Yarrowia lipolytica: one gene and its partner. The protein of the gene in region 2 interacts with the protein of the main gene of each other region in a biochemical or structural test. Links are inferred from orthologs where the notes say so. Each region holds a gene or a part of one and is shown on either strand. Other genes may lie near its edges.

Region 1 (4,662 bases), about 250 kb from region 2:
CTGCTTGCTCAAGTGTCGATGATAACGGTGCAACTTTAACGGTCTGGTGGTGGATGGCCGATATTGGCAGGTGGAGGTGGTCAAAGTGCGAAGGCAGTGAAATGGAGGTACTTGTAGAAGACTGGTACAGGACCCGATTGCAGTATATATATAGCACCCTGAATCAGTCACCTGAGCCTGTACACCGCCCCCCCGAAGCGCTCTGAGTTTTAGGGTCCACCTCGCATGTGCAACTGAAATGAAACCGTGATGTGGAGTAGCAAGCGAGCCTTTAGACTAGTGTATACTGGGTGCTTGAGTGGGTTCCGAGAGGCAAAAAAGTAGGCGAAGCAGGCAATTGAGTATTGCAAACAATTACTAAGCCGACTTTAGATATTGGCCACCAGTTTGTCTCAAGCACAAGTGGACTGGCTGCTGCGCCTCCAAAATGGGCATCGCCATAAACACCTGCATGTGAACTGCAAGTGCCTTGAACCATCTCTGTTTCTTCACAATACAATAAAGTGCTGATTCAGAAAACACCACCACAGGACATGGACTGGACCAAGTCATTCACCATCAGCAGTGCCAAGCCTGGGCGACCGGTGCGATTGTCGGGAGTGGAGAAAACGGCTTTACAGGCGGCGTTCGACGAACATGCAGAAGACGGAGTCATATCGGCGTTTGATGTGCCACTCGTGATAATGGACCTGGGTTGGTCTGTGGAGGAGTTTTCGGGCACGGACAACCTTGACGAATGCGTGAATATACTCAAACCGCATTTTCTCAACGATGTGATCACCTTCGACGACTTCAGTGACGGCTTTTCACGCATGATCACGCGCCAGGTGCTGGATCCGGGGTTTGTGTCTGAAGGAGAGGGCTCAGGGGACGACCAGGGAGGGTTTCTCGCGGAGGAAATCGCTGACATTGAAGACGACGCATCGAGTGAAGGCGGCGGAGGTTTTGTGGCCAGTGACGAAGACGAGGGAGGTGGGTTTGTGGCCAGTGAAGAAGAGGGCGATGAAGGAGGAGGGTTCTTTGTTGCCAGTGATGGAGGGACAGGTGGAATAATTGAGCCGATTGAAGAGAAACCGAAAAAGAAGAAGAGGAAGAAGAACAATGTTTTTGTAGAAGATGTGCCTCTGGCGTTCTCATGGTTCACAAAGTCAGACACGATTAACACTGCTGATCTACGACGAATAGCCAAGTTGGTGAAAGATAACGCCAGTGAGAAGGATTTCAAAGACATGATGGAGGTGGCTGGAGCTGTCGGCGGCAAGATTGATATTCAAGCATTTGAGGGGTTACTGAAGAAGCTCTAAAAGTCCAGAAGAGAGACCCAGATCAGACGCAAGCATATGCGATGACCTCTTGGCGAGCGTTTATTTATATGTAACGAAAGATACGAATTACCTAATGACCATACAAGTAGTGAGTATATAGTGCAACCATTACAATCGTTATAACCATTGTTCATCAGATCACGATTTGTCGTCCAAATCAGCTTTCACGTTCTACGAGTACACAACAGTCCTTTCTGACCACTACAAGCAGACACTTTTCAAGCGTCCTCATTCTCGAGCGCGTCACATTGTGTCTCTTTTCATTCTAACAATTATCAATTTTTTGATTTGAACCCCTTTTAAATGATATGCTTGGATCGGAAGTAAGATCTGAGGTAGATGATCTGCCAGACGCCGAGAGCAATGAGAGCCAAGGTGATGCCGACGGAGAAGAACTTGACTCGTCGGTTAGTGGACTCGTTGGTGTCTCGCAGCCTGATCTCTCGCATCTTGAGGTAGTTCATTTCCTTGTCCACCTCATCGACGATCTCCTCGATCTTTCGCAGCTGCACCTCTGCGGGCTTGAGCTTTTCGGAGGCCTGGATCTGCTCCCAGTCTCGGGCGTTGGCTCCAATGGCGACCGACAGATCAATCTCCTTGGTCTTTCCGAGATCCTGGTGCGAGTTGGCCACGTTGTGGAAGCACACGTCCAGAGCAGTGTCCTGATGAGAGCTAAAGGTGGTGATCTCTCGGCCCAGAACATTCTTGATTCGGGTGTACTCGTTTCCATGTGCGTCTCGAACGACCACGCTCAGCTGCTGGCCGTCAGCGTACTTGGGAGACTCGACAGTGACGACAACGAGCTCGCCGTTCTTGACAAAGTCTCGCACACAAAAGGGCAGCTCGTTCTTGTCCTTGGCAGGCAGCACAAACCGCAGGGCGGCCACGGCGTTGATGAGGAGCAGCAGGGTCAGCACGCTCACGATGGATTTCATGGTTGGCGTTCGGTCTGTGTATGTGTTGAGTTGAAAAGGTAGGAAGGTGGAGTGCACTTAGCGTGTGATAGTTACGTGTTAACTTTACGCGTGTTCAGGGTTGTGGTAGGTGGTAACTTTGTGGTCCTTAAAAGCGGTATAGCTGGTGGCTAGAAAGTATATAAGGGTGGCTAGGGGCCCTGTTCAGACTGTGGATTTGCAGTGAGGTCTGGGCCAGTCGAAAAGAGTCCTTATAACGTCCACTGCGCACGGCTCTCAATCTGAGATCAAGCGAAAAGACCCTTTCAAAACTCCGAACCTTGATTGCGCCCACGAAGCAGTTGGAGACTCATAGCAATGAGAGGGAGAGCAGCGCACCGTCACGTGACGAATATGATGGGGGGTTGGGGTTGGGGGATGGGTTGTGACAGCCTCCGAACCGACGAAACACGTCTAGGTCTCTATTTATACCCCAATTCACGTGATCCTCCTCTTCCAACAGAACTTAATCCATCTCTTCAGACAAGATCGTTGGCGCATACAGTAATATGATCGTGTGCCGGGGTCGAGTTGGGAGAGACACGCACGGCAAGTGAGGTGGAAGGATGAATAAGCGGGTCAACAGGTGCCCAAAAAACACCAAAGCCAACTAGGTTCATTCATTTGGCTGCTGCTTCACATCTTGTGGTACTACATTGTAGTTCGGCTATGGCTTCGTTCCATTTCTCGGTCAGATTATGACTGCACTATAGCTACAGGTACTTGTAGTATATCAAGCATAGTGACCACCGACAGACAGCGCAGCATGTCGATCCTCTGTATCAGTTTGGAGAGATGATCGCTATCGGAACAACTATGTACACTGTACGAGGCGAGTGTGCGAGTGAGAGTACGACTAAAAGTACGACTGAAAGTACGACTGAAAGTACGATTGAAAGTACGACTGAAAAATTCAAGTGTCAGCACAAGTTCCGGTATCGTACTGTATCCAGCTACAGCACATCGCGGTATAGTATACATACTGTACACTGCAATATTGCAATGTTTGTAGTGGTCTAACTCGCCTATCTAAGAAGTCATCGGTCAATATATATACCGTATGTACTTCTCTTCGGCCAGTACTCGTATTTGTACAAGTACCATTGTTCTGTTCTGCAATCACTGGTGCAACTTCATGTGTTGTCAGGTCCGGATTAGCCTTCAATTTAAATTATCTGGAGACTGCAAGCTGTCAATGTCAGGGGTTGAATGTGGGATTATAATTAGTGTGCCGGGAGTGCAATTCCTGTACACGACCCCAGCAGTCTCATGTCCTTGAAAGTGAGCTTTTTGTGTTTGTTTCCATCCCAACTGGTGGTTTCGTAGGTCGCTCTTTTCACGTCCCCCCTTGCACGAGGCTGGCTCATCACCTTTCCCTACAGCCTAAACCCGCCCTACCTGTATGTATCAATATACCGTTTGCTGGCTGTACAGTGAGAGATATTGCGGGCGAGAGAGACGCCGAAAGAGGCGGATGTTGAGTCTTTTTGAAACCGTGGCAGTCTATAATCAGCCGTGGGGCGGAAAATGCCGCTACCAGACTGCCACCCACTGGCACTACCGTCTCAAAGTGGCCTATAGCCCGCCTTATATATATAACCACAATTGGCTGACATGTGCAAGGGTGCATGAAGGGTGCGTGGGTGGGACAAGTGCTTGTATGAGGTTGGTATTTTTGTATTCTTGGGACTTGCTGCATCCCCCTATTTGACGCTCTTGTAGAAATGCTTCCGGGTGGAAAAACACCACGACAAAAGGCGCTGAGGATTTTCAAGAAGCTTGTGTCCCTCATTTTATGTCCACTGACACATGTCTACACTAAGTCCACCTTTTTCCAATCATCTGTTTACCTCTTTCCCACCTAAGGTTGGTTTCAAACCATACTATTTTTAGCGCACATTTAAGAGAGAGGCTACCTGTATGTATGTACTGTAGCTCCACTAATAGCTTCATTCTGTAGACATCTTCAGACGGACAGCTTTCCCGACACACGCAAGCCACCAAGATGAACGTGCCTCCGCTGTCTTCCGCCGCGGTGCCAATATCGACCTCGGCGCTGCTCGGCACCCTACACCAGCAGTACAACTCCGCAGATCGTTCGCTTCGAATCGATTCCACCTCGGTGCTCGTCCTTGACGGCCACATTGACATCGATTTCCTCAACTCCGTGTGGGAGCACGCCTGGAAGCGTTCCGAAGATCAGAGTATTTTTATTGGGTGAGTACAACTGACGGAACGAGCCACGGCTCTGGCAGAGGAACTACATCATGAGCGAACGTCTTCATGACCATACGTCCTGCGTCCTGAATTTCAATGCTACTGCCTCAACGCAACAAAGCTGTTTGGATGCAAGAAGCATTACTTCTCCCTGATGCTACCTCCAA
Region 2 (7,581 bases):
AGGGAGGGCCGTTCGGGCACCTCCATGCCATCGGTCATATTAGTAGGCACGTATCCGGGACACACAGAGTTGCTGCGAATCGCATAAGCGCCTCCCTCCACCGCCACGGCCTTGGTGAACATGTTGAGAGCAGCCTTGGTGGTGGAGTAGACGGACAAGACCGGGATGATGGGCCGGAGTCCCTGGACCGACGCCAGATTGATGATGACGCCGTTGCCACGGCTCTTGGGACGCGGCGAGTTCTCGTGGCGCTCCACCCATGCCTCCAGGGCATACTTGGTCAACTTGATGGCTCCAGTGAGGTTTGTGGCCACAATCTTGTCGATGAGCTCCACCTCCATATCTGGCAAGAACCCTCCTTGGGCAATTCCCGCGCCATTGACCAGAATATCAACAGCCGCAAAGTCCACAGGCGGTCGCTGAGCCCCGGTAACGTCGTAGAAATGGCCCTGGTGTCGCTGGCCCTCGGGAACAGGTATCAGTGGAACACTCTTGTCCAGAGCCTCCTGGTTGTAGTCCAGTAGAATGATAGTGCATCCATTGAGGGCCAATTTCTCGGCGATGGCCATTCCAAGGTCCCCGGAGCCGCCGGTGATGACGGCCGTATGATCTGATAATTCGCCCATGTTGTTGAAAGGAGAATCGGGTCCCAAAAGGAAGGAGGGAGGGGAGCATAGGACAGACTATATATACTAAGAACAAGGCTAATATGGAGACTTTCACGTGGTCCAAAATTGTCATAAATGAAGATATATAACCCATATAAATTAGTCAGCAATGAATCTGACTCAGCCATTTCCATCTGGAGAAACACCCACATCAAAACGCCTCTCATATCCAACCTCCATCCAAGTATCTCAACATCTGACTATCACACCCCACTCACCACCCCCACACTCTTATATGTGGGGTAACAAACAGAGTTTCGAGGCACCATCACTTAACACGACGTTAATTACTTGGGAATTAGTTGAAGAAAAAATCGGCTGGGGGTGCAAATAAGAGGTTCCAGATATGCCAGAAGAAAGAGATATATACCAAAAAATTCAGAAAAAGCGTATATATTTAAATAACCAACAATTCTCGGACCGTACACTACAAAATTGCCGGATATTGCTATTAGTTGTCTCAACAGACGTCGAGGTTTACTTAGGATTATAGTTGACACTCAGAATACAATATTCAAAGCAAAAATATTGGAGGAACGCAAATACTGCCGAAAATTGCTGGATACACAAAAACTGCCTTAAATCATTGCTCCTGCCTCCATATACAAGTATCGCACAAGCTTAGGTAAAACATTCCAATTCTTACATACATACAAACAAGTTTTGAGACCACCACAGACTGGTCCCCCACTAAATCAACTTGAGACCGGTGGAAGGAGCGCCAATGGCAGAAATACCTCCGATAACATCCAACTGACCCTTGTGCTTGGGCAGGTACTCGGCTCCGGTGAAAGGATCCTTCTCAGATGCATCGCCGGGGTAAATGGGCTTGAGAGACCGGGGACAAATAGCAAAGTTGGCGGTCACATCAAAGTCCAGCTCAATGGCGTCTAGAGGCTGCGCATCTGCTCGGTGCTTCACCTTTCGAGCCTTCTCGGCCTGCGCAGGAGCAGGGTTGGTCTCCAGGAACTTCTCAGCGTACACAGAAGCAGAAGCGTAGTTCTTGAGCTTGAACGCCTGGGTCATGGCCACCTGCCAGGGTAAACCAGCATGGGCGGGCTGCAGCTTGAACTTGGTAAAGTAGGCGGCCAGCTCTAGGTTGCGCTTGGGATCCTCCTCGGCGATTCGTCGACGCTCCAGCTCGATGGAAAACGCGCCAATGTACTCCCGGCAAATGTCAATAATCTTCTCGCACTCGTCCACAGAGTCGTGCGTGGGCACAAGCATGACGGCAACAGTGTAGAGAATCTGACGGAAAGCGGAAATGGCAGCAGGGACGTCGTTGGCTCGGATAAGCCGGAAAGCAGCCTTGACATCGGAAGAAAGAGAGTCAAAGCCGGGGACAAGAGGCAGAGAGGTGTCGTCGTTGAGAGCGCCTCTCACAAAGAGCTCCAGGGGAGGCAGATCTGCGTTAGACTTGTAGTACAGCTTGGAGGCCTCGTACACGGTCATGAACCGCTGTCGCAGAGGCTCAAAGTCGACAATACCGATCTGGCGATTGAGCAGCTGGGCGGCAGTCTCGAAAGAACCGGCTGCGACATGCACAGCGGCGACAGACGAAGCCCGGATCCAGTTCTCGGGCTCGGACGAAGTGGCGTCAAGGTTCACAGAAGCATTCTTCTTGTGGCCCTTGGACGAGGGAGTAGAGGGAGCAACGGGAGCAACCTCAACGTCATCAACGTCGAGATCGTCGCCCATGTCCCATCCAGCATCACCATCGCCGTCGTCGTCCTCAAGGTCGAGATCGACCATGTCCGAGGTGACGGCTCGAACTCCGTCTTCCTCGTCGTCGTCGTCCTCGCCTTCGTCAACCTCAACCTGGCCAAGCAGAGCTTGCTCAAAGAAGGAAAGGGAAGTCTGCTTGAGAGGCCAGTCGCCGAGAGGCTGCTGGACAGCGGGAGTGGCGGGCTTGAGACCCTCACCAAGGGTCATCTTCACGTCGCCCTCCTCAACGCCGGCCTCGGCCAGAATATCTGCAGCAACGTCGTCTAGACCTCCGTGCTTGGCAGCAGCGTAGGCATGAGACAGCAGACCGGCCGATCGGAAAAGATCAACTCGAGACTCTACCGAACCGGTGTACAGGGAGTTTTGGAGCATGGAGGCACCGTCGCCTCGGTGGGCAGCAATGGCAGCCATCTTCTGCAGCTTGGGCGAGTCGCCGGCAAGCACGTAGACAAACGACAGCTTGTCAAACAGCTGCTGCTTCTGGTACACGAGCTCGACGATTCGGAAGTTGCCCTGCGACAGAGCCTCCTTTCCGAGCAGCGTCCAGTACGAGGGCTCGTCCAGAATCTGGGCCTGCTCCAGGGCCTCGGTCAGGTTGCCGCACTCGATGGCGAGATCAAACTTGACCTTAGGGTCCTGCACAAACTGCAGCGCAATCTCTGGGTAGCCCTTCTTCTGCAGGTACGAAATGATGGATTGGCCCACGAGGTTGGACGACTTGATGATTCGCAGCACCTCAGAGAAGTTCTTGTTGACCAGCGCCCGCTTGAACCGGTACTCGGTGGGGTCGATTCGGACCACCTCCACCTCGCCAGCTCGGTTCAGACAGTAGACTCGTCGGTCCTTAACCCGCACAATGTACAGAGTGTTCTCCAGAGTCTTGATGATGCCGGAGTCGCCGTTGAGCAGAGTGTACTTGAGATGGTTGAGAGTGGTGTAAAGCAGCACTCCGTTGTCGTCCCAGCACGCGGACTTGATTCGAATGGTCTCGTGAAGAGACGAAATGAACTTGAGCGTGGTGGCAGAAGCAATGGTCACGGTGTGTTTGGTCAGCAATGCCACGTGCTTGCCGTCCTTGCTCCAGTTGACATACTTGACGCCGGACACAGCAAGTTCGGCCACAATGGTCTTCTGGGCAACGTCCAGCAGGTAGACGTGGGAAGGACCCAGCAGGAGAAGTTGGCCCGACGAGCCGGGGACAACCACAATATCCTTGACCTGTTTGGGCAGCTTGATGGTTCGGGTGGTGGTGTTGCTCAAGTCCCGTATGTCAATGGTCTGGGCATTCTTGTTGAAGACGGCAAATCGGTTTCGGGCCACAAAGACGGCCTGAGCAGCGTTGCCGCCAATTTCCTCGGTGGCCTCAATGCCACCGCTGGCAGCGTCCTTGGGCAGATGGACCAGGTTGTAGTTAAACTGGTCCTTGTCCTTGGTGAGCAGCAGCACAGCCCGGGCAGCAGGGTTGTAGCTGATGGACCGAATGGGTGAATACTGCGAGCCGTACTTCTTGAGAGACACCAGGGGCATACTGTCCTGCTCTGAGTTGAAGTCAAACAGCTTGAGTTGCTTCTCCTTAGACATGTAGAGCAGCGAGTTGCCGTCAATGGTGGAGGCGGGTCGCTCTCGCTCCATCTTGAACACCATGATACCGCTCTCGTGGCCAGCAGCAAACAGGTTGATGTTGGGGTGAGCAGTGAGGGCCCAGAATTTGTCGTTCTCCCGCTTGAACTGCTTGATGAGAGTTCGCTTGTGCAGGTCCCAGGTTCGGATCGTCTTGTCCTCGGACACAGACACAATCACGTCCTGGTAGGGGTGGAAACAACACGACAGAATGTTGTTGGTGTGGCCTCGGCAGGTATCGACCTCCCAGGCCTTGGTGTCGCTCATTCGCCAAATCTTGAGGACCCGGTCGTCACCACCAGACACAATGAGAGGCAGAGTGGGATGGAAAGTCGCCCAGTTGACACCACCATCGTGGCCCTCAAGAACGTACTTGACAATACAGTCCTGGTTGCCAAACATGTCCTGGCCACCCTGCTGGGGATGTCCGCCGGGGCCGCCGGGACCACCGCTGTTTCGAGCAGCCATCATCATCTGCTCTTCGAACGACATGGATGAGCCTGCGCCGCCAGCAGACACGCCGCCGCCGGCAGAGTGCTTCTTTCGCAGGCCGGAAATGTCCCACACTCGCACGGTCTGATCCAGACAGGCAGACACAACCAGGTCCTCGGAGGGGTGGAACTGAGCACTCATAATGTAGTGCGAGTGGCCGGTGAGACAGGCAATCTCCTGTCGGTTTTGCCAGTTCCAGATTCGAATGGTCTGGTCATCGGAACACGAGATGATCCAGGGCAGCTCGTGGTGGAAGAAGACGGTTCGCACGTAGTCGAGGTGGCCGACGAGAGTGAAGAGACACTTTCGGGTCTGTAGCGACCAGACCTTGATCTTGTAGTCGTCGCCACAGGACACAAACAGCGGCTGGGTCTTGTGGAAGTCGACACCTCGAACGGGGCCATCGTGGTCCTCGAACCGGTCCACCAGGGTTCCCATTCGGTAGTCCCAGAGTTGGATGGTGGACGAGTGGAGCGAGACCAGGACCCAGGGGCGGGTCGAGTGAAAGGCTAGGCCTTTGGCTCGGGAAGATTTTGATTCAAACTGGGTTAGTATACGAGTGGAATCAGGATATGGCATGAGCTGACTACCGGGATGACACAACGCGTCACAACGTAAACAGGCCGTGGTCACACACATCTGGACACATCAAATGTGAACAAGACCGAGTAGTTGTCTTAAAGCAACAACCTCTGTTGTGAAGCAGCAGATTGGTGAACGACAAGGAGTAACGTGAACATGGGCAAACCAAGCCAGTGTGCCAACAGGTCATCATATTGTTGTCATTGCTACCATGTCGCTACCATGTCGCTACCACGTTTGTCCCATAATGCGTCTCGTCATGAGCAACGGTTGATCACATTTCACCCCCGCACTTCATTCCACGCTGTCTGTCGCTTCTGCGTCGCTTCTGTGTCGCTTCTGTGTCGCTTCTGTGTCGCTTCTGTCTGTCGCCCTAATAGTGTCATCGCCGGCGGTCTAGATTTCTCGCCCAATGGTCACCTCACCGCTCAAAAACCCGCCTCGATTTCTCGCCCAATGATCACCTGACCGCTCAAAAACCCGCCTCGATTACTCACCTTAGTTAGCATCTCCATCTTGACGGATTGTGAGATGTGTTCTCAGTTGAAGAAAGATCGAGGTAGTGCGTTCTCGAAGTGACGTGTTGGGAGAACGTGGCACAAAGTTTATTTTGACGGAGAATTTGGGGAAGATGGGGAGGACACTAACGGTGTTGTGGATGGGAAGTGGGAGGCATTGGAGCAAATATAACAAGCTGATTCGGACAATTGTAGCCCAAACATGATACGGTCAAATTTTGGTCCGAATATCTCGTGTTTTGGTGGAATTAGAACAGTCTTTTGTTCACATCCCCGTCGTCTACTCCCAAGTAAACTCTCAACTGGAGACAATAAATTATTTAAGTTGTATCACTACAGAAAAACGCATACTGCAGAAAATAATACGAAAAATGTTATGTTATAACATTGTATTCATACATTATGTACTGTAGCCCTGTAGGAATGTATGTTGTAATATGTATGATGTTGTAAAAATGTCTTTAAATAAAATATATCATGTTGTAAAAATGATATTAAAAATATTAGTATGTTATAAAAATGTATTATGTCATTATAAAAATATATATATAAAAAAAAAAACGTGACAATACTCGCATGTCGGGAATTTCGTATGAAACGACCTACATTCTGTACTCGTAGTAAACATGATAACAGTAATTTTTTCAAAGTGGATTTTCAAAGCTTCGATCTAAGCAACACTGAAAAACCCACTTTTTCTCGATATCTCCAGTAGTTACGCCATTCGAATCAGCCCGGCGTGGGGAGTTCAATGATACAATGATGTCCACTAACGGTGTACTCTATAGTGTACTCTTTACTCAATGTGGATGTGTGGACTCTAGCAGATCATACCTAGTCCAACTGCGTATCGTCACTTTGCGACCGTCTCAATGACATGAAAAGTCCTCAATTGGTTTACGTTCTCTTCGACTATCATCTTACTTCACATCCTTTCACGTTCCTTCACGTCCTTTCACGTTCCTTCACGTCCTTTCACGTTCATCGTCTATCTGAATATGTTGATCAGGTTTGTGGACAGCCTTCCAGATAGCTCTGGAACCCGGCCATACAATACTTCAGTAGTATTACTCTCACGTTTCCCTATTATACTGGTTGATATCGCGGAACTGTCTCGTTGCTGAGTCATGATCTCTTCATCAGACCTCCGATAACGAGGTGTGTCGACACATGCTCGACTCGACCGATACTGATACTGTAACTCGTACTTATGCAGTTCGGACAAACTGCCGATCTCTCGCAATTATTCCATTCTTGGGCGCACTCAAGACTAAGACCTGGGTGGCAAACAGAATAAAAATAAATAAAATGACAACTTTAATGGTGGACGAGAACCATTGCGGCTGATGATTGAGCGCCCGGATGGAGCTGAAAAGTAGTCAATTGGAGAGATGGCGATCGTGTAATTCCGGCGGTATAATTTTTGTTTACATTTGGTCGCTCGTAGCTTTTCTAGAGCTATATTTTCTAGAGAGAAAAAAAGTTCGAGTAACAATATTCTTTATTTATATTGTGTTCTTTATTTATATAGTGATCTTAATTGTGCTAAATGACACTGTCAAAAGTGGTGACTTAATAGCCAGAATAGGGCCAGCCAAACGGGTTCAAAAAACGCCGCAATTGAGCCGGAAAAACGCCGAATCGAAAGAGCCACTGTTTCCCTGCTCCCTCAAAATATGCAATTACAAATCATCGCCATCTACAGACGCATATGGACACATGCACATACTTGCACTCCACAGCAACTCATGCGAGTCTTGCATGAGTGGCAAATGGCAGTGGCGTTAGCAAGAGACGAGATGCGGCGTAGATAATCGATTTGATGCACACCAATTGTAACGTTGGCGGTGAAGCCTATTTGGCAACCCGCCCCGCCACATGGCATTGTCGTAGGCTGGGATTTTTAGTCCGAAATTCGAGGTGGTTTTTTGAAGTGAGACTTGTTTCTTGGAAGTTTAATGTTTTGACGGGGATGA

What was found. The genes of interacting proteins can lie anywhere in the genome.
Region 1: the proteins of YALI1_E23691g (region 2) and YALI1_E26205g form a complex in vitro, tested with the Saccharomyces cerevisiae proteins (2 studies listed by BioGRID, with this or other methods). The link is inferred for Yarrowia lipolytica from reciprocal best matches to the Saccharomyces cerevisiae genes COP1 and ERV25.

Annotation. Positions count from the first base shown.
Region 1 is NC_090774.1:2,618,168-2,622,829, reverse strand, and holds YALI1_E26205g (uncharacterized protein), read right to left. Parts: upstream 2,261-4,662; coding exon 1,625-2,260; downstream 1-1,624. Other genes in the region: YALI1_E26223g (uncharacterized protein), read left to right, coding at 534-1,304; YALI1_E26181g (uncharacterized protein), read left to right, coding at 4,284-4,495.
Region 2 is NC_090774.1:2,366,683-2,374,263, reverse strand, and holds YALI1_E23691g (uncharacterized protein), read right to left. Parts: upstream 5,145-7,581; coding exon 1,359-5,144; downstream 1-1,358. Other genes in the region: YALI1_E23736g (uncharacterized protein), read right to left, coding at 1-626. UniProt on the Saccharomyces cerevisiae protein: The coatomer is a cytosolic protein complex that binds to dilysine motifs and reversibly associates with Golgi non-clathrin-coated vesicles, which further mediate biosynthetic protein transport from the ER, via the Golgi up to the trans Golgi network.